Linked DNA regions of Struthio camelus. The protein of the gene in region 2 binds, or shares a complex with, the protein of the main gene of each other region. Links are inferred from orthologs where the notes say so. Each region holds a gene or a part of one and is shown on either strand. Other genes may lie near its edges.

Region 1 (7,033 bases), on a different chromosome or scaffold from region 2:
GGCTGGGCTGAGCTTTGAGCGAAAGGCTCCTTCGAAAGGCACCAGTTACCGAGGCGCTGCTGAGCGCACCTCGACCGTCTGTGCCGGGCGGTGTTAAACAACCCATGTCCTAGAGCGTGACTACATTTTGCACGAGGACGTGCAGGCACGCGCTTCCTCTTCCGCTTTCTTTTCGGACTTTTGCCGGCAGCCAGCTGGTGTTTTTCCCCTTCTCCCCGTTCCTCTTTCTTGCTGCACCGCGACCGGCTCTGCGCTCCTTCGGGTTTTCGGCCCGGCCCCGGAGCAAGCGGCGGCAGCCCCGGCACAGCTCTAATTTGGCTCCTGCGCGCATCAGCTCCCGGCGGACCGGGCTGCCCGCCCGGCCGGTGGTTGGCAGGGGACCGGGACCCGGCGCTGGGCTGCAGCTGTTGAGCCGGAGATTTGATCCCCTCCGGCAGCCGGGCGAGAAGCGGGTCTGGGTGGAGACGCGGCGCCTCGGCGGCGGATGCGATGGGCAGCCCCGCCGGGCTTCTCCTCCCTGCGGACGGCAGTCCCCGGGGGCCTCCCTTGCCTGCCGTGGGGAGGGAGAGGGTGCCCTCGCCCCCCACCCCGGGCGTCCGCTTGGGGCTGCTCCCTTGGGATGGGACGGGGACAAGTGGGGCAGGGAGAGCGGGGGGCGCTTGGGAGGGGCGAGACGGGGCGGGGGGGAGAGAAGGGCATGGAGGGGTATCGGCCAGGGAAAAGGGTGAGAACGAGGAAGAAGGGGAAGAGTAGAAGAAAACGCAGGAAGGATGAGAAAGAATTTAGGGAGGAGGAAAATTAGGCCACAAAAAGCCGGGGGTGGAAGGAAAAGAGAGAAAGGACACCGCAAAGAAAAAGGGAGATTTCTCCGAAAGTTACGTAAAACACACAGAGCCTGTTGCCTTTCACAAGCCATCGCCTTCGCCCCACGCGGTCGCAAAGGCGCTGTCCGGGGGCGCCGGGCTCAGCCCCCTCGCTGGAGCGGGGTAAGGCACGGCGGGGCTACCAGCAAGCCCACCCGCCCAGAGGCGCCGCTGCCCTTTAAAGCACGGATATCCCGAGGATCTGGAGCAATCGGTGCTGTGTTATAACGCAGAAGGTCAGGTCTCTCCCTTTGCACGGCTCAGGCGACGCAAAGCCTCCCGGAAACCGCTTTGTGCTCGGCCTCGGGCATCTCCGGCGCCTATGGAGGGCTGCATATTGGCGGGGCGTACGTCGTCCTCTCCTGCCCGGGTTGCACGCGGTCCGACGGCTCTTCGGCGGTGCTCTGCCCATCGTCTCCCCTCGCCCAGGGCTCGCTGGGTCTGGAAAGAAACAAATGCTCCTGTTCCAGCCGAAAGCCCAGGGGCTCTTTGCATTTCAGCTTTACTCCGCGCCGTGTTGCACGGCTACGCAGAGCAAAACTCACACTGACTTTAGCCTGAGCACGCGCCGACCGTCAGCGCACAGAGCTCACTTGCTGCAGTGATTTCGCGGGATGCTACTGTCAGCGGCCCAGGGACCTCTGATTTGTGAGCGCTCTTGCTTGCTCTGAGATTTACCCAGCAGCAAGAGCGGAACGTGCGGCAGCGACGTCCGAGCTCGCTGACACCATCTTTTAATTACGTTTGCAGAAAACCATTTAATGAATAGAGCTTTAGCGCCCTTCATCAGAAGCTTCACACTCAGCGACCTCCCCAGTACTGACCTTAAGGGAGAGCTAACCACTATGTCACAGCTTGACTAACATTTAACAGGTCACCAGCTTTTGATGCGTTACCGTCGCAAACTTGTACCAGATGAAATCACTTCGCGCCTGACTCGGCTGCCGCTCCGAGCAGCACCGAGTTCAGCGGGAGCAGGCGTGAGAGGTGGGCCTCCGCAGTTTCGACCCTTTGAACCTAGTAGAGCTTCCAGAGATAACCTGCTACATGGGGAACAAGAACAGATTCTGAAATAAATATTCTCTTTAATATTTACTGGGTGCATTGTATGAGATCCGTACCGCACCTTGTGATGCGTGGCACGTGAGTATCTTGTGCGACTATGGCCTGCAAATTCAGCAACGGAAAATAATTTGTGATCTTCCCTTCCCTTTGTCCCTTGGATATTTCTCTACCCCAACGTAAAGCAGGTAGGAAATGCTATTTATTCCTATTATACTAGCACAGGCGACGACAGCAGAGGTAGAAGAGAGGCTGGGATCGTTCTTACCAACCCTCACCATGTTCTGTAGCAACAGGTCAGTTTGCTTAAATATCTGATTGGCCTAAATCTGCCTCCCGTGTCAGATGTGCTTTGGGAGCACGCTTGGCCGAGGAACAATGTTTTTTGCTGCTCCGCTGGGACTAGGGGCTTTCCTAGTCTTCTAAACATTTCAAACCTTCCAGCTCCGCACATCTAGCGACTAAGGGAAGGAAGTAAACACGAGGGGAGGAGGAGCGCTAAATAAAAGAGGAAGGGCCACGCGCTCAGGCCTCCGCTCTCTTCTGCCTGGAGCTGGGGTCTGGATGGCAGGAGACATCCCTGCTGAGGATGGACACAGATCGCAGCTCCCGACGCCTCGTGTCCAGAGCACGTCCACCTCTGGGCCTAGACCTTGCTGCCCCTCGCAGAGGGCAGGACGCTCTGCGGCTCCGCTCTGCACCCGGGAGAAGGTCGGACTGCGGCGGAGCCGGGTGTCAAAGGGAGACTAGGGCTCCCTTCGCGCTGCTGGGCAAACCCAGCCTTTGCTGTAAAGCAGAGCAGCTTCAGAGCTGCTAAGCTCTGCCTCCCCTCTCCCGCTTCCCAGCGGCGTTAAGTCATGCTGTTGTGACTGTACGGCACGAAGGGCCTTTGCTCGGCCCAGGCGCCCACGTTCCTCTGATCCTTCTCTCTCTCTTTCCCAGGAACTGATTTGCGCTGTGATTTTCTCCCATGCTGTTTTAGCTAGGAGAAAATACAAGAAACAACATTATTTGCATTTTTAAACCGAGCAAGAAGAATTTAGGAGTGGGCTTTCTGCCAGCGCAGTCTGGCACTTGCTTTGTTGAGAGCGTATAGAATAATTTATAAATAGCATCTTTAAAAAAATAATTGCATTTTTAAAGATCCTGCTTTGCTGGGGAGAAACAGTCTTCAGAAGAGGCTTTAGAGAAACAGTCTTTCAGAGGGGAAATTTTCCTTAACGGCATTGACAAAATCAGGAAGAAGAAGGTTCTGCAAAGCAGGAGACAACGCACAACACCCACAGACAACTATTCCTAGGCCCTTCTTCTGAACAAAGCAGCCGGCCTCCTCCCCGGGCATCCGACCTTTAAAGCCACCTGGCTGTTTAAAGGGTTGGTTTGTCTCAGGAGGGGACATTTCGAATGGGCCGTTGCTCACACCTCCTTCCTTCGAAACCAGCAGGTCAAAAGCAGGGGGAGCCGCGAAGATGTTGCGGCAAACTCATCTCCCCGCCACCAAAACCTCATTGGGGGCTCATTGGGGGGGGGGGGGGGGCGGAAAAAAAAAGAGGCTGACGCTGGGAGGACGTGAGCACCGGCTATTTTCTCCGGCAGGAGCGCCAGCAACGTGCCCCCGGCCTCAGGCCTAACGAAAGGTACGGCGAAGCCGCGGCCTCCCGCGAAGCCCTGGCTTGCAGAAACGGGCTGGCGAGGCAGGGGAGCGGCGGAAAACGGCTATTTTCTGCCTCGCAGGGAAGAAGCGGCCGTGCCGAGGCAATCACTTCTCGTTCTGGCGGGGGAGCGGGTGCTTCGCTGCCGCAGCTGGGGAGGGAGGGGAGATAAATGAACGCGGAAACGAAAGCAGGGCAGTGGCGAGCTTGGCGCGGAGCGACGCAGGGATTTAGCAAATCGCACCAGGAGACACAGCGCTGCCTGGGAGCATCGGCAGAGAGGCAGCCCGGGCCTCCCGGTGCGCGCGCGCCGCGGGGCCCGCCGGAGGCGCGTTCGCCGCTCCCGTTAGGTGCTTTTATCGCTACCGTTCTGGAGAAACGCGATCGGTATATCAGATTTCCTAGAGACAGCTGTGCAAAACGCACAAATCCTCCGGCAGCCTGAGCTGGAGCTATTGATTTGCCGTGCGTTCTCCCGCCCGCCACGGGTGGGGACGGGTGGAGGACGAGGGAGCGATTACGAGCATCAGAAACCAGAGGGTTTTCCAGTGCCCGGGGCGCAGGCAACGCACACGGTCAGATCAGGAGCGGTGCAGCCTAATTCGCTGCGGTCCGTTGCAACGTTTGTACGCTCGGGCAACCTGCCTGCAGCGGTATCTCCATGCCAAGAGAAGCGGTGGTTACCGGGCAGTGATAACGCACTTCCTGGGCCTGATTCCCCTGGCAGGGGGGTCAGCACGGATCTCGCCTCTTCCAAGCGCTCCGCAAGGAGCCAGGAGCCAGGAGCCATAACCTCGGACGGCTCTCCCCAGCTGGGTAGGATGACGGCTTTGTCCCCATTTCGGAGGGCCACCACGCGTCGAGAGCCAAGGGGACGCCTCTGACCGCAGGTGTGCCCCGTTTCACGTGGTCTGAATGCGACCCATCGAGGCTCGAGCTGGCTGCCGAGGTGGATTTAGGACTCGGCTCCCAACAGCTGGGGAAGCACGAGCAGGAGAGCACCAGTGGGGAAACCAGGCATGGGGCATCAAAAGCCTACGGGCACAGGGCCTCTGAGCCGCCTGTGTGCACCCGCCATGCCCTGCAGGGCTGATGTATCGCCTCCCCCGGGCTCTCCGGGGCAAGATTCGACCCATACTTTGCTCAGCCAGTAATGAAGCACCTGATCTAGAAAGTCCCAAGGTCAGGCAGCAGCTCACCTCTGGCTGCACGCCCACGTGTGGAAGCGCGGATATTATTAAAACCCACATGGATGCTCAAACGCAGCCCGAAAGGCCAAAACAACAGCGCGTCCTCTTGCCGGCCAGGCTGCCCCGGCAGGCTGCGTTTTTAGGAGAGGGTGGCTGCCTCTGATCTTGACGTTACGACCACGAAGAGGCTGACCTTTCCCAGGGGCTGACTGACGGCCAACGTATGCAGGGCCGCAGCGGCAAGCATGCGGCGCCTCCTCATTGCTTGCATGCTTCCCCTGGGGTTTGCTTGGGATCACACGGATACCTCCTCTGGAAACCCAGCCAGGGAGTCATCGCTGATTGGAAGGAAAAGTAGCTGACGAAAATAGGGAAGCTGCACCCAGGAGGGAAGCTAATCCCTCGGCGAAAGCGTGGCCACTAAGGGATTGCTTTCCTCTGCCTTTGGCTCTGCTCGAGCTGCTCCTCACCTTCCCCCAGGCAAAGCCGATCCAGGTCAGCCGAGCCCGCGCGTCTGCCTGCAGCGTCCTCCTTCCTCTTCTCCGGGCTTCAAATGCATTTCACTCTCGCTGCTGCCTTTGCGCGGCGCAGCCCGGGAACACGCCGCCTGGGAAGGCTGCGAAATCCCCGTCCCGGGAGATTTTCAAGAGCCGTTCAGGCAAACATCTGTCAAGACAGTTTAGGTCAAACTGATCCTACCCGGGGCTGGGGAGACAGCCAGGAAGATCACAGAATCACAGAATCACAGAATGGCCGAGGTTGGCAGGGACCTCTGGAGATCACCTAGTCCAACCCCCCTGCTCAAGCAGGGTCCTCTAGAGCACATCGCCCAGGATCGCGTCCAGGCAGGTTTTGAATATCTCCAGCGAAGGAGACTCCACCACCTCTCTGGGCAACCTGGTCCAGGGCTCAGTCACCCTCACAGTCGAGAAGTTTGTCCTCACGTTCGCACGGGGCTTCCTGTGGTTCAGTTTATGCCCGTTGCCTCTTGTCCTGTCGCTGGGCACCACGGGGAAGAGTCTGGCCCCGCCCTCGCAACGCACCCCCCTCCCTTCAGATACTTGTACACATGGATCAGGTCACCTCTCAGTCTTCTCTTCTCCAGGCTGAACAGGCCCAGCTCTCGCAGCCTTCCTTCATAGGAGAGATGCTCCAGTCCCCTCATCATCTTGGTAGCCCTCCGCTGGACTCTCTCCAGTAGTGCCATCTCTCTCTTGTACTGGGGAGCCACGTCTCTCTTGTACTGGGAATTGGACACAGTACTCCAGATGTGGCCTCACCAGGGCAGAGTAGAGGGGCAGGCAACACTCGACCTGCTGGCAACACTCTTCCTCATGCACCCGAGGATCCCCTTGGCCTTCTTGGCCACAAGGGCACATTGATCTTGGCAAGTTGCTCGCGTTCCCGCTTCTGCGACGCCCCGGCTGGCGTGCCAGCGTCTTCCTGGCCGTGCCGTCTCGCCTGCCTCCTGGCGGGACCCGCCGTACGGGGTGGGGGCAAGTACTTGTGCAAGGACTGCCTGCACGGAGCTGGGCTGGCGGCTGGCTCGGCCGGGGACAACCGCCATCGCATGTTCCCCCGGCCCCTGGCAGAGCTGGTGGTGTTGCCCGGGGCCGGGGATGCTGCCGCCCGCCTCCCGATGGCCCTGCTGGCGGCCGGCTCCTTGGCAGGCCAGGGGCACGGCGCCCCCGGGGCTCGGACAGGCAGGACGGCTCCCGCGGGAGAAGCAGTGGCCGGCTCGCGTAGCCAACGCCGCCGTCACCTTTGCGTAGAGGAAACGCTCGATACGGGCGTATCTCCGCTTATCGAAAGCGCCCGCCGTGCTGCAGACGCGCGCGGAGCTGCAACAGGCACAAAGCAAGCGGCCGCCTGCCCTTTCCAGCGCCGCCGGGATAACAAACCAGCTCAGGGGAGCTAAGTCCCCAAACCGGCCGGCAACACGCAAGCGGCGGCAGCCGGCAGGAAGAAAGCGGCCGCGGGCAGAGCCGGCCTGCGGCGCTGCTACCTGAGCCAGGCGCCCTGCGAAAGGGGGTTTGGCTCCCCGGCGCGGCACCAGCTTGAAGTACCGGCTCCCCTGCTCCTGCCCTGCCCGCGGCCCTCGGGCAGACGTTAGGCGGCCGGTGAGCGGGGCGCGGGAGCCGGGGTGAGCCCTGCGGCGCCCGCTGGGGAGCAGGGCACAGCTCCCTTCGCCTTCCCCGGGGTCGACAGCTGCCCGTGGATGCGCATCAGAGCTGCCGTACAGATGCTGCGCAGCTGGCGAGGGACG
Region 2 (7,050 bases):
GCCTCAGCCATTCTGTGATACTTTCTATAAGGGACTGAGTCAACCAGGATTTTGTTTAAATAACAGATTTTCACAACAGTTTATATGAGATGCTAAATAATTAACTGGCACTCAGAGGTAGGAAAAAATACTAAATGTACATTTCTGCCAGAAGTTCAATTCTGACTAATAACCTCATGATTTTCAGCTTTTCCTTATCATTCGGAAGAATATCTTCTACGTCTCTTACCCACACTCCTTTAATCCAGATTTTTAAAAAAAGCTTTAATAGACCACTTCACCTTTTCATTTACTTTATACCAGAGAAGAGAGAATTAGTAAATATTAAGAGAGACAAAAAAAGACAGCTAGAGATGCAGACATTTTTAAGTTGGAATCTGTACTTAAATATAATGAAGAAAAAAAGTCTGCACAAAAGGAGATCACTACAACTGTAATTAGCGACTGTGCATATTAGTAAACAGTAAGAAATATAAGAAATTGGAAGTATGGAACTCATTCCGTCCAATTTTTCCCATTTTAGGCACCTCCTAATTTAAAATATTACAGTAATGGGATTTTTTTTAAACAAGAAAATCAAGAGTGGAGATGACACACACAAGGCTGGATAGTTATATATTTAAACAAAAAGTCACTATCGCAATCTGATAACGAACATCAGATATGTTTACATTCTATCCTGATTAAAAAGATCAACTAAAAGAAAAAATTGTAAAGTAACTCATAGTGGTATAGTGGTTACCAGAGAAACAAATCTATCTTTAAGACAGAAAGTAAATAAGTTCAGTGAACAGTAAGTTATAGCTCAGTACATCTGAATTTCAGGAGAAAGTTCAACTTCCTTATAAAATAAAAATACTTAGTGCTACAAAGTACTATTTTAGGTTTTAAACACTTCAAATAAAAGAAAGTAAAGCAAAAAAGGCATCAGCGTTAAGCTTTTTGAAAAAATTATTCCAACAAATATAAATCAATTCAGTGAGAACCTGTACAAAACCCTCATAAAAGCAAAGAAATCTACAGCAGAGTTTTTTTTAATCACATTGCTTCACATGCCCAATACTTCTCTGAATCATAAGATGAAGATTTTGTTAGTCACAGTCACAAATTCTATGATAAAAACCTAACCTTTCAGGTATTTTTCACTTCGGAAAAAGTTGGCTGTGATCATGATCTATTAAATTATTTTTGAATTAATATTAATTAATATTTAATTAATATTTCAGAAATAGTGGCATTTTCAGTATAACTGAATTTCTGAAATTATTTTAAACGACTGTTGCAGAACAAAGAATAAACGATGACAGCATCAAAGGTCATAAACTGAAGGTTCATTAAAATGAGTTTTGAAGCACTGAAGGCTATCCATACAGATTAGCCTTCTGGCCAAATTACCGCCCCTTGTCTAACACTTGCTGCCTCTTCCTCTTGTGTTTTGTCTAACAGAAGACCCCATGATTTCTCCTTTGTACGTGCATCCCTCTGAAGAAAAAGGAGAAACAAAACTAAATTTTATAAGGTATTTTGAGTAGGTAACTTGTTATTTATTTGGTCTGCTGTGGAAACAAGGCTTAAATACAAAGTATTTAATACTCTACGTGTATACGTCTATCCATAACAGCCTCTAAACTCACTGGCCAACATTACCTACACTTAACAGAATAACAGATATTTCAGGATTTAGTTCCTGTAAGTCTGTGAGAACACCTTCCCCCTGAAAAAGAGAGTGCAGCATGAGATGAAAACTTGTTGGAAACATTTTCTTCACAAACCTTTAACCCTGAGAAAAAATTCAACAGAACTAAGTTTATTAGTTTAGTCTTATTTTAAAATTGGATGATACCAAGTTGACAAGCTTCTTAATTCCTCACATGCAGCAGTAACATCCATAGCATAGATATCTGTACTATTCATAGCAATTCCACTGAACAATCCTTACAGTCACTCGATGTGACATAACATTTCCACCACAAAATGACGGACAACTACTGCGAAAATTATTTCAGTTCTAAGCTGCATCTTCAAACAGATTACCATTTCAAAAGCCTATCCAGTAAACAAAAATAGGGTGGACTTTTCTGTAAAATCCTGGCCTCATAAAAACCTCCTGAAATCCTTCCACTTCACTGTTTGACAGGTGGTGGGCAGTAACTAATTCCATGATTCAATCAGTTTGTCACCAATGCACGTAACATACTAGTGTATCACCCCCACATTAATCCATGGTCAGAAGTCAGAGATGAGAAACCACTTTACTCAACCAATTTTTCAGCAAATGAAAAGCAGCGGACCCCTGTCCCAAACGCTTTAAATACTCAAACTCAGCCCCTTTACCTCAGAAACTAAAAACAAAACTTTGCTCATAGGTCAGTCTATATATTTTGCTTACAGGTCTGTCTTTCCGAGTTAGCAATGAGACAAAAACGGTAAAAGAGGCTCCCCCTTCTCCCGGCGCGGGCAGACAGCTACATCTCACCGTGCCTGCGGCACTCCTGGAGTCTGTTCTATTCCCACCGCCGTGCAGGAGAGGGAGGATTTCAGGGCCGGCTGAGCGGCCATGGCGGTGCGCGCACCTACACAAAGAGGGGACCTTTCGGAGCGCTGGCAACACGCCACGCACCGCTGCTACTGCCAGAAACACTCAGCGGAGCCCGAGGGGCAGGCCCGGGCCGAGCGAGACCCCGGCCCGCTCCGCGGGGCGCGCACACACACACGGCGGCCGGCCCCGCCGCTGGGCGGGGGCGGCGGCAAGGGCCCCCGCGGCGCCCTTTGTTTGGCAGCTCCAAGCGGCGCCCTCCCACCGCGGCTGGCCGACCCTGTCCTGCCCCGCTCCCCTCTCTCCTCTCGCCGCTCACCCCAAAGCCGGCGGGACTCGGCCCCTGCGGGCGGCTCCCCTGGCCCAGGCAGGGACTGACAGGGAGGCAGCGGCTCGCAGCGCTCCTCACATTCCCCTGGCAGCGGCGGCCATCTTACTTCTCTCTGCCGTCCTCCCCCCTCCCCTTCCCTCGCCGGGCTGGTCACGTGAGCGCGGCCGGGGCGGGGGCGCCGGTCGCACCCCGGCGGGAGGGCGCACCCCTCGCCGCCTGCCCCCGCCGCAACTGCGGGCCGGGCGTGGAGGGGCCCTGCTGTGCCCTAGAGACGCAGCCGGGGGGCCGGCGGGGGCGGCCAGGCTGCCCTGCCCTGCCCTGCCCCTGTCCCTGCCCGGCGGAGGGCTACACCCGGGCATGAGGAGCCTCTCGATGAATAGCCAGCAGGGCGGGCGCGGCAGTAACCGCCTTATAATCGGCTAATGACGGGTTAGCTCCCAACGCTCGTGGGGACCCGTAAAACCCTGCCCGGGAGCCCTGGCAGGGCTGAGTCACCGCCGTCAGCGCCCGTGCAGCGCGCGTGCAGACGGCCCCGCGAGCCCGCCCAACGGCTCCGGGCGGCGGTTGAGGCGGCGGCGGCCCCCCGCGAGCCCGCCCAACGGCTCCGGGCGGCGGTTGAGGCGGCGGCGGCCCCCCGCGAGCCCATCCAAAAGAGCATTGCTCACAGAGACGGTACACATAAGCCATTTAAGGGATCATTAATTTTTGCACCTACTACAGGCTATTTTGCCAAGGCAGAACATCTCTCCCTCACATTATAAACTTGACATTGCGTCTGACCTCCCCAACAAGTTAGCAGGAATAGGGTCTTGACCGAGCTCGTGCATTGCCATAAAGGTTAGCCAAAGTACAAGTGCAAGGCCAGCTCTATGTACTTCAAGGTGGACATTTCTTAGAGATGCCACCAAAGTGGAGAGCGTCTGAAACGCATAGTGCTTTTACTTTAGCATTCATCCTCAGAGAGGATGTTTTCTAAAAGCAAGAAGAAAGGTTTTTTGTTAAAAATGGCCACCTGATGAATAAGAGTGTTTCTCTACCAGCGGAAGTCCTCACCTGCAGTTTAACATGGAAGAAATCTCACCTCAACACGCTGCAGACAACACAGGACAAAGTTCACCTCAACAAAGGACAAAGTTCAGAGCTGCTCTTAACTCAGCATCTGTCAAACCTAGCCCCGGACTGCTTTCAGGCTCCAAAGCAGTTTCTCAAATATTTTTAAAATTCACTTCACTGTGCCGGCGGATTTGTACATTGGGTCATAAATGGCTTTGGACTTCCTATGCAATTTCCAACATGTCTTACAACCGTGCTAGTGGCATTCTTCAACTCTGTACCTTCTGCCATGGTAAAATACACCCAGTGACTGTAGAAATATGCCCTTTCATCTTGTGTACAATTCAAACCCATAACAATAGATTCGTCTTTATTTAATGACAGAATGCATTGGGACAACTGGATCAGAGATGCTCTGTAATGACTATAGTAATAATGTCTCCTTGACAGACCATGGAACGTAGTTTAAACCTGGGATGATAACAAACCAGTAAAGAACCAGTTCTTCAGGGAGTATAGGCCTTATACTGTTACTGTAAGGATTCCTAAAGATCAAAGTGTTCATTCAAAATCCTCACAGCGCTGGGATTGTCATCTCTTTAAACAGTTTGCATTGTTAGCTTCCTAAAGACACGCTACACTGAGTTTTTGAAAAAACAATAGAGGTTCTTGAGATAATAGCAAAGATCCTCGCACCCAAATGAGATCAACAAGTTTTCCTTACACACACAAAACGAAACACTAATACAAGGAAAAAAGCGAGTTCCACTAAAATCAAAAGCTAAATCCACTTAGATCTACAGCAAAACATCGATTCAGCTGAAAGGCTGGGAGGAATTAAAGCACATTCAGTGCTTACGTGACACGCGCTGCTCTAATTTATGCCATAGACACGTGATACGAAAAGACGGAGGATGAATGAGCACTTTTCAACGCAGCAGAAACTGCAGGGATTCAATCTAAACTACTTGAATTTATGCACATGGACCATCATTCAAAGATGGTCCCGATGTGTCAATCATCTACCTGGTCTTGTGTATTTGTGTATTATAAGAGAAACTGTAATATAATGAGATTGCTTATTTTAGTCTCCTGAGGTCTATGGATTCTCAAACGTTTTCAGAGTTTTTTTTCTACACGAGCTTACACAAACAGCATATATTAGTCTTTCACCTCATGATCTCCTCTTTGTCTTAAGTTCTTATTCTAACAACATAGCTTTACCCATATCACATTCTAGCTGTGTTCTCACCTCACAGCCACAAATTTGTCAGGCAGAGGCAGTAGCTCCTCCTGCGTATGAGGGAACTAAACACACACTGGGGGTGGCAAAACAGGGAAGGCAGAGCTGTATCATCCCTCACTTTCTTCCCCTTTCAATACAGATGGATCCATCTCTCTTGTCCTCTTCCACTTGTACATTGCTTTTTACATGGGGAACAACATATTCCCATCAATGATTAATTCACATAAGAGAACAAACCCTAGCCCCATTGAAGGGTTGAAATTGTAATCCAGTTGGGTTAGGATTTCACAGAAAGTATTTCCATAAAACACTTTTTTTTTTTTGTTCAGTAAAGCACATAATCTCTCAACAGGCATCCCAAAAACTTTTAATTTGACATATTGCTAATGTATAGTTTGAATGACGTCGTTAAAATTTCAGAGTAGAATTTTTCCAGATATTTAGAAATGTTTGGTTTTTATTGATGTGCTATAAAAAGGTAGTACATGTTGACATTTGTAAATTGGTGTAGTAGAGCATATACTCCAACAAAATTAAAATTTTCTTCCAACCAAGTATTTTCTCTTTTCTCCTTTCCACTTTCCCCGTCTTCTTCAGGATTTACACTTGAACAGCTCAACTTAAAAAATTGCGGCTAAGATCTTTCATGACTAAAAAGATGACACATATGGAAAAAAGGTCCCACTACAGATGCAACTTATTCCTGAAGCAACCTGATCTGAAAGTCGGTTTGTTACCACAAATCAGCTAGTTGCATTTAGAGTTCTCTGGATATCAGCCAAAGAGAGACATAAATGTGAGAATTCACAACAGACTGGTGCTGAGAAAGATTCATAATCCCCTGTCTGATAGACCTCTACACCCTGCAATAACTTCATAGCATCTCAGCCAACTTTAAAAAACAAATATTTAACAAGTACCCTCGCACCTAGCAGCTAAACGTTAGTTTAAACATCTAACACCTGACATCACTCAGAATCAGAATCTAACACCAGTTCAAATAACAGGTCAAGAAGAAAACATTAGAAAACAACTCTTAGCAGTACCCAAAAGTGCATGAGACCAATGAAATAATTTGTACAATGAAGCAAAGCTACTGTATATAATCCCAAAGCACTATCAGCAGCAAGAAAAACAACATGATTAACAAAGCAGCCGCTCAGTTTCACAAAAATGGGCATTTCATTCCTTACCCTTTTGAATAGGTTTGTGTCATCCAAGTCTGAAGATGCTTTTATCTGCTCACCGCATGCTTTTAGCTTGGCATAGCTGCAGCTCTCCGTCCTTATCTCTTGGGTGTGCAATGCTTCCAAATCATGGATGAAATTTAGCAACACTTTTGAAAAACATGACTTTTTTTGAAGTAATTATTGACCTTTTTGTGGATCCTCCCTTATAATAGATGCACCATTCTTAATCTTTAATTTTTAAACAACTGAAGTTGTTCTTAACTGCTATAGTAACTGTCACCAGCACACAATTGTCCCACTATTTCAGATGTCAATACCTGACCAATACAGACACATCCATTAAAAAATGGCTACTGTGCTTTAATAATTATACAAGATTATTATTCTACTGATTATAATTACTACAGTCCTTAAACTGCTTTGTTTCCTTGCTTTTCTGATTTCTTTAACCTACATTGATCCAAATCATGACCACTTAACATGTGTATTTTTGTCTTCCGATGTGTCCTCAAAAGCCTTCGTATGGAAAGATGCTACTCTGTGACAGAGCACGCAGGCAGTCACATTACTCATTTTGTAATGGAGAGATCTTTTGCTGCTATAGCTTATTTCACTTGGAAAGATGGTGAGTAACCCATGCAGAGAAATAACTCTTTTGCTCCTATAAATGACCTTTCCAATGAAGAATTGCAAG

Evidence for each region. Proteins that work in one complex are often made in the same cells at the same time.
Region 1: the proteins of KIDINS220 (region 2) and XPR1 are in contact, whole or in part, in a cryo-EM structure (PDB 9JXQ), measured with the Homo sapiens proteins. The link is inferred for Struthio camelus from reciprocal best matches to the Homo sapiens genes KIDINS220 and XPR1. Residues at the interface, in NP_065789.1 of Homo sapiens: Glu36, Cys37, Gln39, Asp70, Trp72, Met102, Trp105, Trp110, Tyr113, Lys114, Val138, Ile142, Trp143, Gly146, Arg147, Ser166, Asp167, Lys168, Tyr169, Gly170, Trp176, Arg179, Lys180, Gln198, Glu199, Gly200, Ala201, Ser203, Lys234, Arg267; in NP_004727.2 of Homo sapiens: Leu95, Lys189, Lys190, Gln193, Glu197, Ala200, Asn204, Glu205, Ala636, Asp637, Asp638, Leu641, Leu642, Gln644, Met645, Met646, Asp647, Gln648, Asp649, Asp650, Val652, Arg653, Asn654, Arg655.

The regions. Positions count from the first base shown.
Region 1 is NC_090949.1:6,778,790-6,785,822, reverse strand, and holds the start of XPR1 (solute carrier family 53 member 1), read right to left. Parts: upstream 3,008-7,033; 5' UTR 1-3,007. UniProt on the Homo sapiens protein: Inorganic ion transporter that mediates phosphate ion export across plasma membrane.
Region 2 is NC_090944.1:25,362,345-25,369,394, reverse strand, and holds the start of KIDINS220 (kinase D-interacting substrate of 220 kDa), read right to left. Parts: upstream 3,008-7,050; 5' UTR 2,856-3,007; intron 1-2,855. UniProt on the Homo sapiens protein: Promotes a prolonged MAP-kinase signaling by neurotrophins through activation of a Rap1-dependent mechanism. Provides a docking site for the CRKL-C3G complex, resulting in Rap1-dependent sustained ERK activation.